4 linked regions of the Drosophila melanogaster genome follow. The gene in region 1 interacts genetically with each later gene. Each region holds a gene or a part of one and is shown in the gene's direction. Other genes may lie near its edges. The genes, in order: hppy, ninaE, RacGAP84C and aru.

Region 1 (4,930 bases):
TCGTTTTATTTTTCTCTTTCCACACACACACACAACACAACACACGAATACGCACACCCACCCAATGAAACAAAAAATAAATAAAACAGAACGTCATTTCCGGTACTCACAGAGAGAGATATAAACCTAGTTAACTAAATCCTTATTTTGTGACCAATCCAACTATCTGAATACTTATTCTTTTGTAAACAACTTGAATCCGCCAAATGCAGTTTGATATTTACCAAGAGCAATTTTTGATTTACTCACTCCACTGAATTGGCGTCAGAAATGGAAAATTCGGCTTCGTTTTCCGGCTTCCGCTAGCATCCTCCCATACCCAATCGCACTGTCACCTCGCTTGGCCACGCTGTTTCATTATGTGTAATATAACTTCTGGGCACTAATTCGAGCTCTTTTTCTCATCGCATCCCTCACACGAAATACAACCAAACCACCCACACGGACACAGGATGGCCAGTGAGGAGTAGAAAGGTCTCAGCCACAGCACAGCATCTTTAAAGCCAGTTAAATACCATTCTTAAGTGCTATCCAAGCGATGTGCGAGTTCATTCTGACGCCATATATATACATATATATAGTTAAAAAAGAACCTACACAATCCTCCTTCGATTTGACCAAACAAAAAATAGAAAAAACTCCAGGGTTCTAGATCCGTTCTGCTGCAGTTTTGTGTGGTTCGCGCATTTTCCAGTTGACCCTTTGGCAGCTGGAAAATCGGGGTAAGCTGGCAACGCATTCGCATGAAATTCCTCGTTCTGCTCCACTGTGTTGTGTACTAAATTAACACTCTCGTTCGGTTTTGATCGCACTGCGATCCATACTAATGCAATTCCTTCTGAGGATTGTTCAGTTAATTCGTTCAGATTCGGCCTAATACTGTTTGAAGCTTGTTTTCCAATTGTTAACCATTGATATTGCACTTGTCTAGATATATCTAACGTTCGTTTTTCTCTTATTTTCACAGAACTAAACTCAATTCAGCGGCGGCAGATCGCAGCATACGGAAGCTGTGAATATGGGGAATACCCTGGAATCCAAGCCAGACAGCCCCAAGCCGAGAAACCTTAATCGAAATAATACCCTAGTTACATAGAAGTGAAGGAAGGAGCTGTGCTAACCATCTTCTTCTGCTATGGAACATCTCGATACATTTTACGTTATTTATTTATACACTCACGCGAACACACACATGTGCAATAAGTTCTTTGGATTCGTTTTTAACCCATTTCTCCGTGTCAACGTGCTCGAGCCCTTTGATATTTTGTATTTTCTACAAACACGAATAATAATTGTACAAAATAAAAGTGAATTAGGGTTTTTTTTTTAAATTAAACAACAAATTCGGTGAATCAATAAAGTTGTGATCACTAATAATACCGGATATTTTTCGGAAAGCAGTTGGCAGTAGTTTGCGTGTAGATATTAAACATTTCACTTGTTTCGAGTTTAGGATCCAATTGTTGTTGTTGGGAACGGCGGTCTGCACAAAGGAGTTTTCCCAGTTTGTGGCTGATTTAGGTCTTAGTAACGTAGGAAAGATTAAGGGGAAGTTCCTATAAAACATTGCTGATTGGCAATACAGTGACAAATCATTTGTATGACATTCTAATTAATAACTAAAGAAACATTGAAGTAGATTTGAGAGCTTTAACTAATGTATTCCTTTAACGCTGCTACTAAATGTACTTTCATGTGGATTCAATGATTCATTTTATTGAATTTCGAATGTCCTTCAGCAGTTTAAAAATTTCCCCTGTCTGGCCACCCCTTCTGGCCAACTAATATCGATATCTTCGAAACGACAGCCCGACAGAGTTGCCACCGCCGAACGACCAGCGCTGCTATCGATAGGCCCGCGGGCAGAGTGCCATCGCTAGCGAGGGGTGAGAGGAACAACAACATTTGTGGGCTGCGCGTTGACGAAGTGCATGTGAAATTTTTCGTGTTCGTAGGACAATTGTTAATTATCCACTGGCCGAATTTGCCCCGCAATCACGTGTCGGTGTAATATGTGAACGGTTTGTGGTGCTCACCTAGCGCTTAGCGAAAATCGGAATAAAATTATAAAAAAAAAATAATAAACGTAGTATTTACACCAGCAACAACAACACCACGAACGGGCGACAAAGCGACACGCCTCGCGTTGTTGTTTTTGTTGTCGCGTGTTTTTTTACTCGGCAGCACAGCAACTATTTATTTATTTAGGCAATTTCGCTGGCAAAAACAAAAGTGGCCTTCATAAATTCTAATAAAAAGTAATTAAAGTGCAAATGCATTGAGAAGCAAGGAAGAGGAGACGAGAAGATAAAGAATATATGCAGTGGAAGAGAGAGAGCGCGAACGAGAGAGGGGATTACAAAAAACGAGACATCGTTCACTTGCCCTCTCGCTCCCACCCCCGCGCTTTCTCCACCTTCTTCTCCACCCTGGCCTTTATCAAATTTGTTGTTGCTGCTTTATTTGCTGATTTTTGTTTTCATCGCTTTTTTTTTTATTCTGCGTCATAATTCGCGATTCTCTAGTTTCGTGTGTGTATCAATTCAATTCTCTGATCAGAATCTGATTCATATGAAATAAATGTATATGTTTAATACATAATATACAAAAGTCCAGTTAACCTTACGTAATTGTGTGTATTTCAAAGCGTCCAAAATGCATCTCGATCCACAAAAGTATCTAAATTTCGCCTGCTACGTGTGCTAATCAGTCAAACCCAAAAAACGAATAAAGCAGCGTCAAGAGTAAGAGTGTCAATCAAATATTAAGAGTATACCCACCCAGTAAAGAGAGGTCCAGCCAAAAGGACTCGATCGCCTCGAACCGAAAGCGGAAGCGGAAGCGGAAACGGCAACGGCATACGGATACGGAAGCTGCCAAGATGGCCGCCGCCCACAGTCACCACAATGCCAATATGCTCAGCTCGGACATCTCTCGCCGAAATCCGCAGGACGAGTACGAACTCATCCAAAAGATTGGCTCGGGAACCTACGGCGACGTCTATAAGGTGAGTCGAAATAGAAGCCTTTAGCTGTAGTACAAAGTGGTATTAGGAAGGGAAAGGCAAAAACTTCTAAATAAAAACAACAGCAAACAAAAGGCAAAGAAATTGCAAAGTGTGCTCTTTGGATTTAGAATGTTTCCCCAAAAATCCGTAAGTTTTTATAGTTTCCCTCACTGCAATTTTTGCATTCCGTCTGCACAGGAAAAAATTATCCAACAGTTCTCAAATTCGATTAATTCACTTTGAATTGTATCAGGAAGTTTTCTGTTCAATAAAGAGACATCACACATTATGTAACACTATTGCCTCATTGGATTGCAAAACCTAGGAATAATGTTCTTATTGGATAATTTTTGGACACATAATCAAGAATAAATTTTAAAGTTGAATGTGTTCCATATGGTAAAACTAGTTCTAGTCCGTTATGCATTTATAGAAAATGAATTTAGTTACATATCTCAATGTGGAGTATCATTATTGCTCACCACGCCACATAAATAATAAAATTGTATGTGCGTTAAAATGTAGAACGCATTAAATCATAAAGGAGGAATGTTTTTTTGCTCCAGTGCAAGAGTGCATGTACCCCCTCGATCTCCCCACCGCCACCCACTTGCAGACCCTCATTTGTACATCTGTTTGCCACAGCATGTTTCTCATTCCTTCACTACCCCCACCCCCCCTTCACTCCACATCCCTTTCAGCACCCCCTTCCCCCAAACCCCTCGCCCCGCCACAAACAAAAATATGCGCAATTTTAGTTTTCCATCTTCTTCTCTGTTGGATCGTTCTTTTTATACCATCCAACTTCCATGTTTACTCTTGCTGCCCGTCGAAGGGAAGTATGACAAATGCCCCGAAACGCCAGAGAAGTTGCCCTTGGGCGGGGGGGCGTGGCACGTTGCAATTGTTGTTGCCAGGGGCGGGATTATATGGGAATATATCGGGGGAGATATTATGGTATTTCTCATGTGCAGACCAAGGGTTAAGTTCCTCATTTTCCATATGGAATGCCTTTGAATTCGAGGGATTTCCCCAATTCGATTTATTGCATTCTAGTTGGCAACCCAAAATCTATAAATCATCAGCTTTTCGAACGTTTTCCATTCGATTAATTTTGACGAAATTGAAATTGATTAAATTTCACATTGCTCATAAAAGATGGGAATTCAATTAGTTTGTGCACTTTTGAAATTCGATATTAAGTATATCGTAATTTATAGATTTTAATTTGTAGAAAATGAGAGAATTGTTAATTAATTTGCTTTGGCATATTGATAACTTGGTTTGACAGCGCACAATGAAATCAATATGTCTATAATGTGCACCACAATTCTGCACGACATTTGAATGGTTTTTGACTCGCTTAATTTGAATGCTTAGGTTTTAAACAATATGTGCAGTTTTTTGGTTGGCTTTTGTTAATAACGTTTTATGTTGACTAAAGTCTTGTTTTTCTGTAAACTCAGGCAATCATTATTAGTCATCAAAGCGTAAGACTGTTGAGATTATGCTTATTCTTGCTCATCAGACTGATATTGGGACTTGATTCATTTTGCCTCACTTCAATTTATTCGATAAGCAGCCACGCGCTTGCATTGATTATTCGGATTAGTTTCGAATGTGTTATTTATTTATTTATTTATGTTTGCCCACATCTGGTTTTGTGGCCCTCTACTCATTTTGCCATCTGATTGTGTCTCGTTTTTGTTTTTTAGAGCCCGTTCCGTTCTGCTTTCTGTATCTTTTCTCCATGTTCCATCCATGAGATGCGTCATGCCATGAGTCCAAAGCCCATGGTTTCGGTTTCAATCCACCATGCAATTTACACTCTTTCGTTCCCCCTGCTTTTTACTTCGGTTTTTTTTTTATTTATTTTCACACCGAGGTATTTGGTTGTCAAGGGAATTTATGATGCCACACATC
Region 2 (4,496 bases), on another chromosome or scaffold:
TTCAGTTTTAATTAAAAGCTATAAAAGAGCTAAAAGTACAGCTCAGCAGCAGTGAGAGAGTAGGAGAGCGGCGCCCGAAAAGATCCATTACTTTGGCGTTCTTTGAGCAGCCGCTCCATCATCCTCTCGCTCTCTCTCTCTGCGCTCTCACCTACCCCCACACGACGGCGCAGCGGCAGCGACGTCGGCAGAACACTTGCCGCCGTTTACCCACTCACACGCACACTCACACACGCGTCACTCACACTGGCGAGCGCGAATCCATTGTCGAACATAAAAATACAAAAATCAAATCATAGGTGTTTGTTAATTATACACTGTGCCCTGGAGCCAGGGTGTCACGGTTCGTTTGAGAAGTTTGGACATGTCACGTAAATACCAGGTATTATAATAAAACGCTATTATTTGAATATAATAATAATATTATATTATAAGCATATTATATTATACTTACTTATACTTTACTTACTTATTAAATTCGTGAAATATACAGAGCATACTTTCAGGTACATACACCCCGAACTCAAATCTTTATCGTTATCAATACACGATCAACATAAATGTATTATTGTCGTATTAAATATTACAGAGAAGGGCATTCAAAGTGCCGGGTAAGTTTGGTTCTGCCTCTCTAGTTTCAAATTTGCCCGCCTCATTGAGCAGGAAAACAACAAATTCCCCAACAATAACAACGTCTACGGATCGCAGCGTTTATCTCGCTTATTTGCTAATGCTAAATGATCGTCTTCTTCCCCGCCTTCGGCGGCCTTCTTCCACTTCACATCGCAATGTTTGTTGCAAGTTGGCTTGTCCATATGTCTCTGTTGTTGCTATACCCATTTCGTTACTTGGCTTTTATGTTTGGGCCATCTAGCAGGTGGGCGGGGGACTTTTGTTGTTTAGCGAAACCCGAAAATGCCGAATAAATTGAAATGCGATTCATGGTTTATACCCAGATTATTTGTATATATGCATACACAGAACTGTAGGTAAATACGTAAGTATGGGAACCGCAAGTGCGGCTAACGATGACGCCAATATAATGATCATGATGATCAAATTGATGGTAATGATAATGGCGATATGAGCGCAGCTTCCGGTTTTGCGCCTCGGTATTTTTGTTAGTTTTTTGCGCTGGCTAACTTTATATGAATATTTATTACCTGCGCTTTTTTTGTATTGTTTTGCGGTGTGTAATTGATTTAAACCGAAAGATCTGCCGACATGTGTCGACTGTCACACCAGCTGACAGTTATTTCGGTTTAGTTCCATATTTGGGTTGGGCGCAAAGCGTGGCATCCCATTTGGCCATTTGGATTAGCCTAAAACTTGACCCAATTCAAGCTGATGTGTTGAGCCATCGCACAAAGGCGAACAAAAGGCTTTTATGCCAAAGCTGGACTGACAAAATAAAATCCAAGCTGCCCACACCAAAAAGAAAAGAAACAAAACATGTTCGGAAAATTCAATGGAGGTGCGAAAAGATCAATCAGCACAAAAAATCCATAAGCGGCTTAGCGTCTGGGGTGTTCATATTCTTAATTTAAATAGATTATTTTACTACTTCCAAAAGCTGGCATTCTTTTTAAGATAATCCAAGATTAGCAGAGCCCTCAAGATGTGCGTTCATCGGCGCACACACTGCGTATACTTGATTGCGCATACGCACTGGTGTCGCAGGCGAACGATACTGATATTTCTTCTGCTACGATATGTTTTCATAATATTCTTCAAATTTGTCTAGGCATTGACACATTAAATCGCTGACTTTCGCCATTGCTTTCTGCACAATCTGGAGACTCAAGAATAATACTCGGCCAGAACCCCCAGTGGAAACCCTTGAAATGCCTTTAACTATTGACATTGGCCCATTGCGATGTGCGCTTGCTTTCGTTATGGATATTATGATTATAAGCCAAAAGCTGTCGACACTTTCCTCTGCACATTGCAGACATATTTTTAGGCTGGCCTAATTGAATTTCAAGAGCAGGGGTTACACGAGCACCGCGAAAACTATAAAAGCCATGCGGCAGAATGCAGACATTGCAGGTTTCCAACGACCAATCGCCGCGACTAGTCCGCCCCAGTGAAATATTCAGAATCCAGGAACCCTTTATGTAAAAAGTGTTAGAAATATTGTTAGTGAATTTGCAGCTTTTTATGTAGACAGTGTGATATAGGCGGGATATAGTGACGCAGCCAGTAACCAAAACACAATGGAGAGGTACGATCGGTGGATCCACTGGATGTTCTGGTTAGCAATTTAACATTTGCTTCGGTGTTGCAGCTTTGCAGTAGCAGCCGCGCAACTGGGGCCACACTTTGCCCCCCTGTCCAATGGATCGGTGGTGGACAAGGTCACGCCCGACATGGCCCACCTGATCAGCCCGTACTGGAACCAGTTCCCCGCCATGGACCCCATTTGGGCCAAGATCCTGACCGCCTACATGATCATGATCGGCATGATTTCCTGGTGCGGAAATGGCGTGGTGATCTACATATTCGCCACCACCAAATCACTGCGCACGCCCGCTAACCTGCTGGTCATCAACCTGGCCATCTCCGACTTTGGCATCATGATCACAAACACGCCCATGATGGGCATAAATCTGTATTTCGAGACCTGGGTGCTCGGACCCATGATGTGCGACATATACGCCGGACTGGGCTCGGCCTTTGGCTGCAGCTCCATCTGGTCCATGTGCATGATCTCCCTGGATCGCTACCAAGTGATCGTCAAGGGCATGGCCGGCCGGCCGATGACCATTCCGCTGGCCCTGGGCAAGATTGCCTACATCTGGTTCATGTCGAGCATTTGGTGCCTGGCGCCCGCCTTCGGCTGGAGCAGGTGAGTCCTTGAAATGGTAAACCTTCTGGGAACCCATTTTTTAAAAAATGATCAAAGCTACTATATACAAATGTTTAAAAACTTAAATTACAAACAAAAGGTTTACAAATTACAATTGTATTAATATTATTACCACCTAACATTATCCTATAAATATATATTCTTAATCTAAAAGGTATGTGCCGGAGGGTAACCTGACCTCGTGCGGTATTGACTACTTGGAACGCGACTGGAACCCACGCTCATACCTGATCTTCTACTCCATCTTCGTGTACTATATTCCGCTGTTCCTGATCTGCTACTCTTACTGGTTCATCATTGCTGTAAGTGGCGACGAGACTCGCATATCCCAGTCGCTTAACCCGATATATCCTCCCACAGGCTGTCTCCGCCCACGAGAAGGCCATGCGCGAGCAGGCCAAGAAGATGAATGTCAAGTCCCTCCGCTCCTCTGAGGATGCCGAGAAGAGCGCCGAGGGCAAGCTGGCCAAGGTGGCTCTGGTCACCATCACGCTGTGGTTCATGGCGTGGACACCATACCTGGTCATCAACTGCATGGGACTGTTCAAGTTCGAGGGCCTTACACCACTGAATACCATTTGGGGAGCTTGCTTCGCCAAATCGGCCGCCTGCTACAATCCAATTGTATACGGCATCAGGTTGGTTATGGGCTATGAAACGTATATACCTTAATATTTAACCAATTTTTTATTTTCATTCCGTATAGCCATCCGAAATATCGCCTGGCCCTCAAGGAGAAGTGTCCTTGCTGCGTCTTTGGCAAGGTCGACGATGGCAAATCGAGCGATGCCCAATCGCAGGCCACCGCCAGCGAGGCCGAGTCCAAGGCATAAATTCTTTGGCGCAACAACCAGAACAGCAACAACAACAACAAGAACATCTAACTACTTACAACAGCAACAACAACAGCAACAAAAACAACAGCAAGAACAACTGCAGCAACAGAACGAAACGCTTTCGAATAACATCAAAAACTTCAACAATAATGAAAAAATTATGCAACTTTCTTACATAACAAAAAGCAATGTAAACTCAGTTATTAAATTTCCTGCAATGTCAGTTAAGGACAAAAAAAAACTCAACAAAAAAAATAAATGCAAACGAACTAGAAAAGTTATAAATTAAAATGAGCCTTTTCAAAACATAGTATATCTAACAAAAGCAGCTTTTAGCGTGGAAAAACCCTAATGACGAACCTACAAAAGTTCGGATATCAACTTTCGGTTATCTTTCGCCTTTAAAGTTTGGAGAACCACAACAAATTTGAGTTTATTCATTCTTATATGTATAATAGTCTTCTTCAGAAGCTATAAATCCTTTCCAGTTAACAAGAAATACCCCTTTTTTGCAAAGCACTTCACAATATATTATCTATTTCAGTTTTTGTTTTCTTTTTTTTTTAAATTAAAGGCACTTATGTAAATTCCATTTTTATAAGTTAACATGCAATCGTTAAAACTGGACACACAGACAACGCCTTTTCGAACTCAAAGTTGAAAAGACATGAGTCAGCATGGGAGAACTTAACCCAGGGCTGCTGGAGACTCATTGAGCTGAGCCTCGCAGCGGTTAGTAGCACATGGAGAACATTAACAATTAATCAGTAGTATCTGTAAAGGCACAACTC
Region 3 (3,851 bases), on another chromosome or scaffold:
TTTAAGCAACATCCTGAATCTATAACAATTGCGTTAAACTTTTTCATTCTGTTAAGAAGCTTTAAAGTTGAAATATTTTGAGCTCGATGCAACCAAATAATTCCTTAAATTTTGGAGGCACCGGATAAAAACATTTTGATCAACTTTTGTGTGTGAAAAATTAATTATCACCACGTGGCAACACTGTCAACGTGCTTTGATGCCATTTTTTCCCACTCGTTTTTGCCCAGAACTCCCCTCTTTTTTGTATGTTTTGTGGATGTCCAAACATTTTTTATGCTGTTTTGTTGTGTTTCTGTACTTTTTTTTTTTGCTTTTTGGAATACGCAACGGACAGACACACACATAGGGCCACACACGTATTTGAACACACACAGTCAGAGGCGAATCAGAAAAAGTACAAAAAAGCATTTTGGGAAAAGTGGAGTGAGGAGTGAGGCAGGGGATTGCATGGGCTTATTGCGATGCGTGACTCGTATTTGTGGACTTTGAATACAAACAAAACAGTCGGACACAGATAGAAGCCCACACAAGTGCAATTATGAATACTACGCCCACACACACGCCGCATAATCACAGAGAGAGACACTCTCACTCACTGCAATGTGTGCATTTCAATACGCATTAATAACTACGAATTCAATGTGGCAGTGGCAACCATCCTTAGTATTTCAGCCCAAAGCTCACACACACCTAAACCCACACCCTCAAATGCTCACGCACACATAGGCACACCGGCGTCAATGCAGCTGACGCCTAAAAAACGACTACAAAAAAGCATAAAAATCCAATTCCCCGCCTTGCTCGTTAATTTTGCTGGCGCTGCTCTTCAATTCACAGCCCAAAACTGAAAAGTGCCATGATAATTTTGTTTTTACTCTATCCAAACTTTAAAATCGCATAAAAATCAATGCCAATGATGCCATTAAATCAACAGACAGATCCATGTTTCGTTTTCCACAAAAGTTCCAAGCTCGAAGTCCCTTTAAATTCTAATTTTTGTGTTTTTTTAGCAGCACGTTTACTCAACATTTTCGCTTTCTGACGTTCCGGCCTCACATGAACTGCAGCATTTTTTCGTGCTACATTTTTGCTGGTTGCATTCTATGTCTGGTGGCCGCAAAACGGTTTTCCATGAATTTTTCATCCATTTAGCGGCGCCATTGAGCCATTTTCTGGGCGCTTAGAATTCATAGATACTTTAGCAAATTGTTTTTTTAGTTCGATTTTCTACATTCTTTTTGTTTTTAGGGATTTTTAGCTTTTGTATCGTGACATTGAATCTCGGTGTGATTGATTGTCTTTAACGATTTAATTGAATCGAAAATATAAAAAGATCACCACTGACTTGTTTATATGAAGAAGACAGGGCAAATATCTGTTATTGTTAGGCACAAAAAATGTTTATAATAATTTGATTCACTTTTTTTTTGTATTGAAAACAGCATTTTTGATATTTCTTAGTAACACCTTAGTCGCCCATTAAATTTCTGCGGAGCACCCTAGATGTGTGTATGAATTATCCAGAAATATTTACAAATGTACGACCCACAGTAGGCACTCTCTATGGGTGATCGAATTTTTGTGCTGCCAGAACTATTTAAGCTATCAGCTTTCACCCGATTCCAAATAAACCGTAAGAGTAAATAAACATTTCGGTCGAGTATTCGGAGAAGCGAGCCGATAACTTCTGCGTAGCTGACTCAAGCCGAAGTGGCCTCTCTTCGGAAATTGCCAACTGACCAGAACAGCTGAATCAATTCGCCAACTTTATGATTAGTGGCTCTGGGAGTCGGACGCCCTCAAATCGACTTTATTTGTCGCCCGTTCGCCCCACGATGCAGAACAAACGGAGGCTTCTGCGGGAGTACAGGTCCTACGATGACCTCAGCGAGCACTACCGCATGTTTGGATCGCAGTCCCTGGACTCGCTGCAGGATCGCGTGGACATGAATCCCAGTGGCTGCGATGGCTTATCCACGGACGGACTCGACTTCTGCTCGCAGTCCCACTCGGGGCTGCTGAGGGAGCACAATTTCAAGATTAAGTCCTACTACTACAACGTGGGGAACTGCGTACACTGCCGCAAAAGGTGAGTTGCAATCACCGAATGGTGGAACTTCTGAGAGGATTTCGAATTCAGGGAAAACATGAAAAGTTAAATAACATCCCAACCCTCTCTGACCAGCATTTACCTCCCTAACCGCGTGTCCCTGGTCTTCTTCCAGGATCCGCTTCGCCATGGCCAGCCTGAGGTGTCGGGCGTGTCCGCTCCGCTGCCACATCGGTTGCTGCCGCCAGCTGACGGTGAACTGCATCCCCCAGCCTCAAATCGGTACGAAGAGAGGATGTCTCAGCGATTATGCGCCTCGGGTGGCGCCCATGGTGCCGGCCTTAATTGTCCATTGTGTAACGGAGATCGAGGCGCGGGGATTGCAGCAGGAGGGACTCTACCGGGTGTCCTCCACCCGAGAGAAATGCAAACGACTGCGTCGGAAGCTGCTGCGTGGCAAGTCCACGCCGCATTTGGGCAATAAAGACACCCACACACTGTGCTGTTGTGTTAAGGACTTTCTTCGGCAGTTGGTTCACCCTCTGATTCCCATTTACCACCGAAGGGATTTCGAGGAGGCCACGCGGCACGAAGATCGTCTGGCTGTGGAGATGGCGGTATATTTAGCGGTTCTGGAGCTGCATCAGGCTCACAGGGATACGTTGGCCTACTTAATGCTTCACTGGCAGAAAATTGCCGAAAGTCCTGCTGTCCGCATGACGGTCAACAATCTTGCCGTGATCTTCGCTCCAACTCTGTTCGGAGATCTGGATCTAACCCTCGAAAATGTCGTCACTTGGCAGCGGGTGCTGAAGGTGCTACTTCTGATGCCTGCCGGATTTTGGTCTCAGTTCTTGGAGGTCCATCCCCTTCCCACTTCGTTGGGCAGCACCTATGACTTTGAGGACCGGTACAATCACCGTCACTGGGACAGCTCGTCCAATCTGGGATGGTCTTCTGTTAAGACCTACTTTAGATCAATGGTAAGACCTATGGTTTCCCTTTAACGGATTTGGATAGAATTTCATATTCGAATAAGCCAAACTCAATACAAGCAATCAAACATATCATACAAATCTTTCACTGAATACTTCCTGTTTCAGGTCAACCTTAGCAGTACTCACCTATAGTGAAAGTCTTATGACTGAGACATCGAGAATGGATGCAGTCACCCTTTTTTATTTTATTTTGTATTTTTTTTCATTATTCACTACAGTTGAAGAACTAATAATAATTGGATCTCTAACATGTTGTGTATGTGTTGTTGAATTATATGCGGCTAACAAGAGTACTTGACATCTCAAGTGCAATACTTGATTTATTGAATCACCAAAAGATACTCTCAGAAAACACCCATTATTTCCATATATGAAATTCGGCTAATTAAATATAAAGCCAGGCCAAAATCTTATTCGCACCACATAAATAATCTAGCATGGCCCAGAGCGACGTTATCGCAAAACTATATATTTCGAGTATTGAAACATTAATAAACATTTTTAATTGAATTTGCAATTTTTTTCGCCGAACGTTGATTAATTCCCAACCGTTGAAAACATGTAAAAAATTAATAATTTCCATTTCCCATATTTATGTTTCTTTGAAGCGTAAACCAAAGCACAAAGTAAAATATTTTGCCGCGAACACATATAAATAAGTTAAAGCGCCAAGAAAAAAGTTAGCATTTTAAAAACAATTTGGAGAGTGCCGTGCAAAAAAGTGCGGCCATTAAATGCAAAAAACAAGCAAAGCAAAACAAAACTCGAATGCACTGGACGAGTGCATAAATAGACTCACT
Region 4 (6,164 bases), on another chromosome or scaffold:
TGGTTAGATTATTAATTTAAATAATTGCCTAAAGAGCTTCAAGGATGTTATTTTCAATTAGATTACTTATTTGAGGGTCCACTGTATATCCGCGCTCGCACATTACTGTGAAGCCTCACCTGTGTGAGTGCGGCTTATAGGCGACGTGTGTGTGTGTGTCTGAGAGAGGCTCGTGGAATATAAACAGCGCACAGTGAGAGAGGAAAACGGAAAACAGGTGGAAAAGAAAGCTTAAAAAATGCGGTCGGTCAAAAACTAAAGTTGCAGCAACAGGCGAGGGGGTGGCGGGTGCCGGGGGGCTCGAGACACGGAGACAAATACCTTTTCAAGCCGCACACACCAGCGCAAGCAAAGACGTCAGCTTATCTGCCACGCATGCGCGCGAGGGGGACGACAATAGTGTGGATCGGGGTGTCGATGTCTCTCCACCCCCCTCCAGCCCACCACCATCTAACGAGCGGGTTTCCACCCAAAGAACAGCAAAAACAACTATTGTCATTTGTTGTTTTGCCATTTGCTTCGTAAACCAAAAAGTATGCGAGATAAAATAAAAAAGCAAGTGTACCGCACGCCGCCGTTTTATCTAAATCCCAGCTGTCTGAATTATTTGAGGCTCTAACACCCCATCTCACGCTTATCAGGACCCAATTAATTATCTTCACCTGAATGGAAGCTATGCTTGGGGCATGTCTCCAGGTTTATGGTTCTTGTCGGGGAGTTCTTAGATACCAGTGCAGTTATGTATCTTAGATTGCCTTACCGAGGCTTATAATTTTCCCCTATTTACAGATGCATAGATACATATGTGTGGATTGCAAATATTTCAAGATTATAGAAGTACAAAAGTAGTAATACTTATATTATAAACATATATGTATTTCATTTAGCATAATGTTTTTGTAGATGTTTATGATGACTTAACTTAACTTCAAATCACCCAGCAGCTTTAGTACTTTCTCTAAAGCATGATTTATGCAAGCCCAACTATTTCCATGTTACCCAAGTGCGATAATGTTTATCGCGTTTCGTCATTGGCCTCTAAGCTGCTGTAGAGTTAGGAGCGAAAACACAAATCTGTCAAATTCCACAAGTGTGATGCAATTTGGGGCTTGTACGAACAGTAAAACGCTGAAATATAACACAGCGGCGCAACTTAACGAAAACAAAACATTTCCAGGGGTGTAGTGGGTCAGTGTTTTCTTTTTTACGTGCACTTCGCTTGTTTGTTTACTGCGATTTTGGCTTGTACAAGATCGTAAGCAGATAGTGCCTCCAGCTGACCCCCTCTGCAGTTTCTCTTTCACCTGTTTGCAAGTACACAAGCACCCAACACCCCCTTTCCCCTGTCCATTGACCCTGCGACACTGCTGGATTGATACACTGAAAACAATCGACAAACTTGGGGGTGTTTCTATCATGGAAAATGTTGTTAACATTTAAAAATGGTTAGAACTACATTCTAGAGACTTTCTCGCCATAGGATTATTATAATGATTTTCAATATCTTTATAAAAACAGTAGCGATTTTTGCTTAGTGTAGATAGGTATGCGACACCGCTGCCCGCGTCGCAGTCGGCGTCTGAGCCCAGCCTAAAACAGCGGAAAAGTTGTTGCTGTCACTTGAGTCGAGGGAGCGGTTTGGATAGAGTCTGCGAGGGTTAGAGCGAGAGGGAGCGAGAAAGTGTGTTTGCAAATCTCAGTTTTACGTGTGTGTGTGTGTCTTTTGCAGGTGTGTTCACTGGCTACACAGAAAAAATAAGAGAGATTTATCCGAGTGTTGAAAAGAATGTTACTGTGACATAGAACCATAGTTGGCCTAATTTTTGAAGATAAGAGCTATTACTCTACAATTACTCTCTATTACATCTACAATGCAATACAATTTGCTGCTGTTAATACAAATAAGATGAATATAATCGGAAGTAAACTATCCAAAGATATTCTCTGTGTAGTCAAAGTGGAGACACCGAGCTTAGAGGAGAACCTGGGGAAGTGGAAGTAGCGCGATTTTTGAATTCCAATGCTGATCCAAGCCAACAACGAAATGTTAAAGTTTGAGAATAATTGCGGCCATGTGCGGATCGCTTGGAGTGTGTATGCCAACGCTAGTGGAGGCTTGGAATCGGAATGCGGTCTGAGTCAGAGACGATTGGCTGCGCAATATCCAAGTGGCTTGGCGGGATTAGGGGCCTTCGGATGCAGAGGGACTTAGTCTCAGCTGCACAAAATAAACACAGCATAATGATCTAACACATACTTTAGGACCAATTTTCGTATTCGACACTCATAAGATTTCAGCTCGAAGACTCGGTCAGCGGAGGCTTTAAGGTCTTGAGAGACCAAATTGGGAACCAGACTTCCAAGGGGCTTAACCACACCCCTGCCAATAGGAAATTTAGTTTTGGGAATACTATTCTAATCAAGTTAAACATGTTTTTCGACAGCAGTCACGATATAATGTTTTAGTCATTGGAATAAGCGATTAAATGGGATTATTAAAAGCATACACATAATTCTAAATATTATTTTCAAATGACGATAGTTCAACTCGACCTAAGAAGCAAAAGTATAAGTTGGTAACGATCAAAACTTTTAATCAATGTTTAAGCTACTAAGTTCATCATTTAAACGGTAACTTATATTTTAAACGAATCAAAGACCGATATACAAAATTGTTGACGATGATGATGATGTGAAAAAATTTTATTTTTAGACGGAGCTTCAGACGTCGATCGAAGCCTGTACCGGGATTGGGAGACACCATGGTGAACCACCACTCGAACGGAGGCGGCAGTGCTGGAAACAGTAGCGGAAGCCTAAGAGGAGGCGGTGCCCATGGAGGCGGCGGCGGAGGAGGAGACTATTCCGGAGACGATCGCAGCGGAGGCGGCGAGGAGCGGGAGCGTCTGGAGAGTGACTTGCACGACAAGCCCACCTACCTGCTGGAACACCTGGCCACCTTCACGGTCAACAAGGAGTCCGGCATTGTGTATCCGGCGGACGGAATGCGTCGCCTCCTTCAGCTGGAGAAGACCACGGGTATTTGGTCGCAGAAGATGCAGCTCTGCCTGGACTATCAGTGGGTGCTAATTATGGACTATGAAACAGGGGTACGTTTCACAAACTGGGAAAGATCCTTATGGAACTCATCTTCATCCTTGCCTTACAGAACATAATCGAAAGATTCCCCGCCTCCTTGGTTCAGGAGCCCACCGCATTCACCTCGAATGACGCCATGGAGCTATACAACAACATTCTGGTCTTTATCGTATCCGGAGGCGGTGGTTCTCGCTCCGAGATGCACATATTCCAGGTGAGAATTAGTGAGGCTTCTGTCTCATGACAGTTTCATTCAAATGATTTATCCCTGCAGTCACAAAGTGTGTCCGCCGTTCACCTGGTTGAGGATCTGAAGCAGCTGAGAAGCGGCAAGATGATAACGCAGCAGCGCGGTGCCACACCCACTCAATCAGGAGGCGGAGGAGCCTCCAGCATGGCCATGATGATGAGCAAAACCTCCTCGTCCTCGTCGCATAGTAGAGTGGAGCTGCACCAGCACAGGGAGCAGCGGGCAGAGCGCGAGAGGGAGCGTGATCGAGACCGTGAGCGCGAAAGCCACCATCACATGCACCAAAGGAGCAGCATGGAACAGTATGGAATCCGTGCCGGAGTAGGAGTTTCTGGCGATGACGTTGCCCACATTAGTGGCGAGACGGATTCGGAACACGGTGGGATTGGGGGCGGTGGCGCAACGGAGCGCGATGAGACTAGCTCCACGTCCAGCGAGAAGTACGAGCGGGATGTGGCTGTGCTGAATCACTGTTTCGATGACATCGAGAAGTTCATAGCTCGTCTTCAGCACGCCGCCGCCGCTTCCCGGGAGCTCGAGCGCCGTCGTCGCAATCGGAAGTCGAAGAAAAGGGATCCGGGGGAGGGATTGCTCACTTTGAGGACACGGCCTCCCCACGAGAAGGAGTTCGTGGACATCTTTGCCAAGTTTAAGCTGTCATTTAACCTGCTGGCAAAGTTGAAGGCGCACATCCACGATCCCAACGCTCCCGAACTGGTGCATTTCCTCTTCACGCCGCTGGCTCTGATTGTGGAGGCCTCCAGCGACACGTACTACGAGTCACAGCTACCGGCCCGTGTGGTTAATCCCCTGCTGACCAGAGAGGCCATCAACCTGCTCATCAACTGTGTAACCAGCAAGGAAACGGAGCTGTGGCGCTCGTTGGGCGATGCCTGGGTGATCCCGCGAGATCAGTGGAAGGATGACGTTGGATCCTACCATCCGGTCTTCCTCGATGGCTGGTCACCGGACTATTTGATCAACGATGAACTGGAGCCACCACCAAATTCCCCGCCCGCTCATGTGAGCAAGCGCAGACTCGAGGTCCAGGCTGGATCCGGACTAAATGGTCGTGGGGGAGGCGGATACGATGACTACGACTCGGGGAACGGGATGAACATGGCCATGGGTATCGAGAAGTACACCATCCACCACGGCAACGACGGTTTAAGGGAGCGGGAAAGGGAGCGCGACAGAGAGCGGGCGGGCGCAATCAGTGCGTCTGACTTTAACGCCCGCAGCGAGCTGTCGTTCGACTCGATCGAAGGCAGGGGCGGCGGAGCAGCGGGACATGGCCATGGTCATGGCCACGGACCAGGAGCTGGACCAACCCTTAGCGCCATCACAGCTGGTCTGCAGAATCTGCATACGAGGGAATCTCGCAGTGGAAACGGGTACGGAGCAGGAGCTGGTCCGGGGCCTTCGTCGGAGTTGGGCGGTGGAGGCAGAGGCCTGCCGAATGTCAGCGACGACCAGATGCTCGAGTCCTGGCTGGAGGATCTGCAGGCGACGGGCGCTAAGATTGTGCTGGTCACCTATCCGCGAACCGCCAACAACGACAAGGAGCTTAGCGTGATGCGAGGCGAATACTTGGAGGTAAGGCCAGCACCCACGTTACCATCCTTCGTTCTGTCCTATAACCATCTCTTCGAAACTTTAGATCCTTGATGATACCCGAAAGTGGTGGAAGGCGCGCAACATGCGGGGTCAGGTGGCCCACGTGCCGCACACGATTGTAACCCCCTTCAATTTCGGGGATGGAGATGGAGCCCAGTTCTACGGGCAACAGCAGCAGCCACCGACGGGTCCCACAGGTCCGGGCAACAAATCGCGATCAGGGGTGAGTAAGGCTGGTCACTCAATTCATGATGGGACTTGCTAACCGCTCTACATTACCCAGGATAATCCCGGCATGGAACAGCGATCGCCGGATCCCACCGACATGATGCGCAGCAAGCATCTGGGCAAGAAGGGCGAGTTCCGCTACTTCTAGGATCGAGATGCGATCACCATATACATATACACATATTCCGTAGTGAGGATCTAGCGTTATAGAGAGACAGACATCAGCAGTTCCGTCTAGGATGCTAGTCCTGGTCACTAGCGATCGGATTGGCTCCAATACCTTGCACTCGCTCGCAGGAGTGTGCAAACCAGAACTAACCTTAAGACTAACCTAAGTGGAGCTCCAGACGGGAGCTGTTGAGCAGCACGTGGCTCCTGCTGAGGCGGATGCTTAAGCTGATGCTCATCCAGGCGAAAAGGGGAGGCGACGGCAATAATTTGTTTTAATAAAATTATATCCAAAGGAACCTGCCTATTGGTTGATGATTATTGAGGAGATTGTAGTTTGGAGAGCTGCTTTGCTTTATTTGGATGCTCACAAGAAGAAGTTAACTGGTGCTGTACGGTGATCAAAGCCAACGATTGAACAAAGAGCATACTACGAGAACTCGAATCGATTAAATGATGGACAACTTCTCCACGCGGGCCAGAAGCGGAGAATCGGAGTGGTACTCCAGGCTCCGCACGGCGAAGTCGCCCACTTCGTTGGTGAAGCACTTCAGAGTGGATATGGAGAAGGGGCGTCCGGGAAAGTTGTAGTAGGTGAAGTACTGCCCGTTGACGGCGATCAGGAAAGCCCGATCCCCGAGCCCAAAAGCGATCTTGAAGAGCTTTCCGCGCACAAATGGGAATTCGCCCTCGGTCTCCTCGTCGCTCAAGGCAAAACTAGAATAAGTGAGTAAAGGTGAATTCTCTTGGAGGAACTTTGCATATTGGAGTCTCGGACTCCTTTATACCTGTTGTCTTCACG

Evidence for each region.
Region 2: of hppy (region 1) and ninaE, changing one enhances a phenotype caused by changing the other (phenotypic enhancement), as found in Drosophila melanogaster (one study listed by BioGRID).
Region 3: of hppy (region 1) and RacGAP84C, changing one enhances a phenotype caused by changing the other (phenotypic enhancement), as found in Drosophila melanogaster (one study listed by BioGRID).
Region 4: of hppy (region 1) and aru, changing one suppresses a phenotype caused by changing the other (phenotypic suppression), as found in Drosophila melanogaster (one study listed by BioGRID).

What each region holds. Positions count from the first base shown.
Region 1 is NT_033778.4:19,176,852-19,181,781, forward strand, and holds the start of hppy (happyhour), read left to right. Parts: upstream 1-1,886; 5' UTR 1,887-2,021; intron 2,022-2,647; 5' UTR 2,648-2,881; coding exon 2,882-3,007; intron 3,008-4,930. Other genes in the region: CG10737 (uncharacterized protein), read left to right, coding at 90-138.
Region 2 is NT_033777.3:19,885,751-19,890,246, reverse strand, and holds ninaE (neither inactivation nor afterpotential E), read left to right. Parts: upstream 1-2,040; 5' UTR 2,041-2,216; coding exon 2,217-2,224; intron 2,225-2,287; coding exon 2,288-2,848; intron 2,849-3,023; coding exon 3,024-3,171; intron 3,172-3,229; coding exon 3,230-3,507; intron 3,508-3,575; coding exon 3,576-3,702; 3' UTR 3,703-3,992; downstream 3,993-4,496. UniProt on the Drosophila melanogaster protein: Visual pigments are the light-absorbing molecules that mediate vision. They consist of an apoprotein, opsin, covalently linked to cis-retinal.
Region 3 is NT_033777.3:7,284,333-7,288,183, forward strand, and holds RacGAP84C (Rac GTPase activating protein at 84C), read left to right. Parts: upstream 1-1,629; 5' UTR 1,630-1,772; coding exon 1,773-2,092; intron 2,093-2,228; coding exon 2,229-3,036; coding exon of another isoform or gene 3,037-3,060; exon of another isoform or gene 3,061-3,119; intron 3,120-3,156; coding exon 3,157-3,183; 3' UTR 3,184-3,297; downstream 3,298-3,851.
Region 4 is NT_033779.5:861,344-867,507, reverse strand, and holds aru (arouser), read left to right. Parts: upstream 1-1,646; 5' UTR 1,647-1,681; intron 1,682-2,447; 5' UTR 2,448-2,599; coding exon 2,600-2,631; intron 2,632-2,713; coding exon 2,714-3,110; intron 3,111-3,169; coding exon 3,170-3,313; intron 3,314-3,373; coding exon 3,374-4,945; intron 4,946-5,009; coding exon 5,010-5,189; intron 5,190-5,249; coding exon 5,250-5,342; 3' UTR 5,343-5,659; downstream 5,660-6,164. Other genes in the region: CG13950 (uncharacterized protein), read right to left, coding at 5,812-6,079, 6,151-6,164.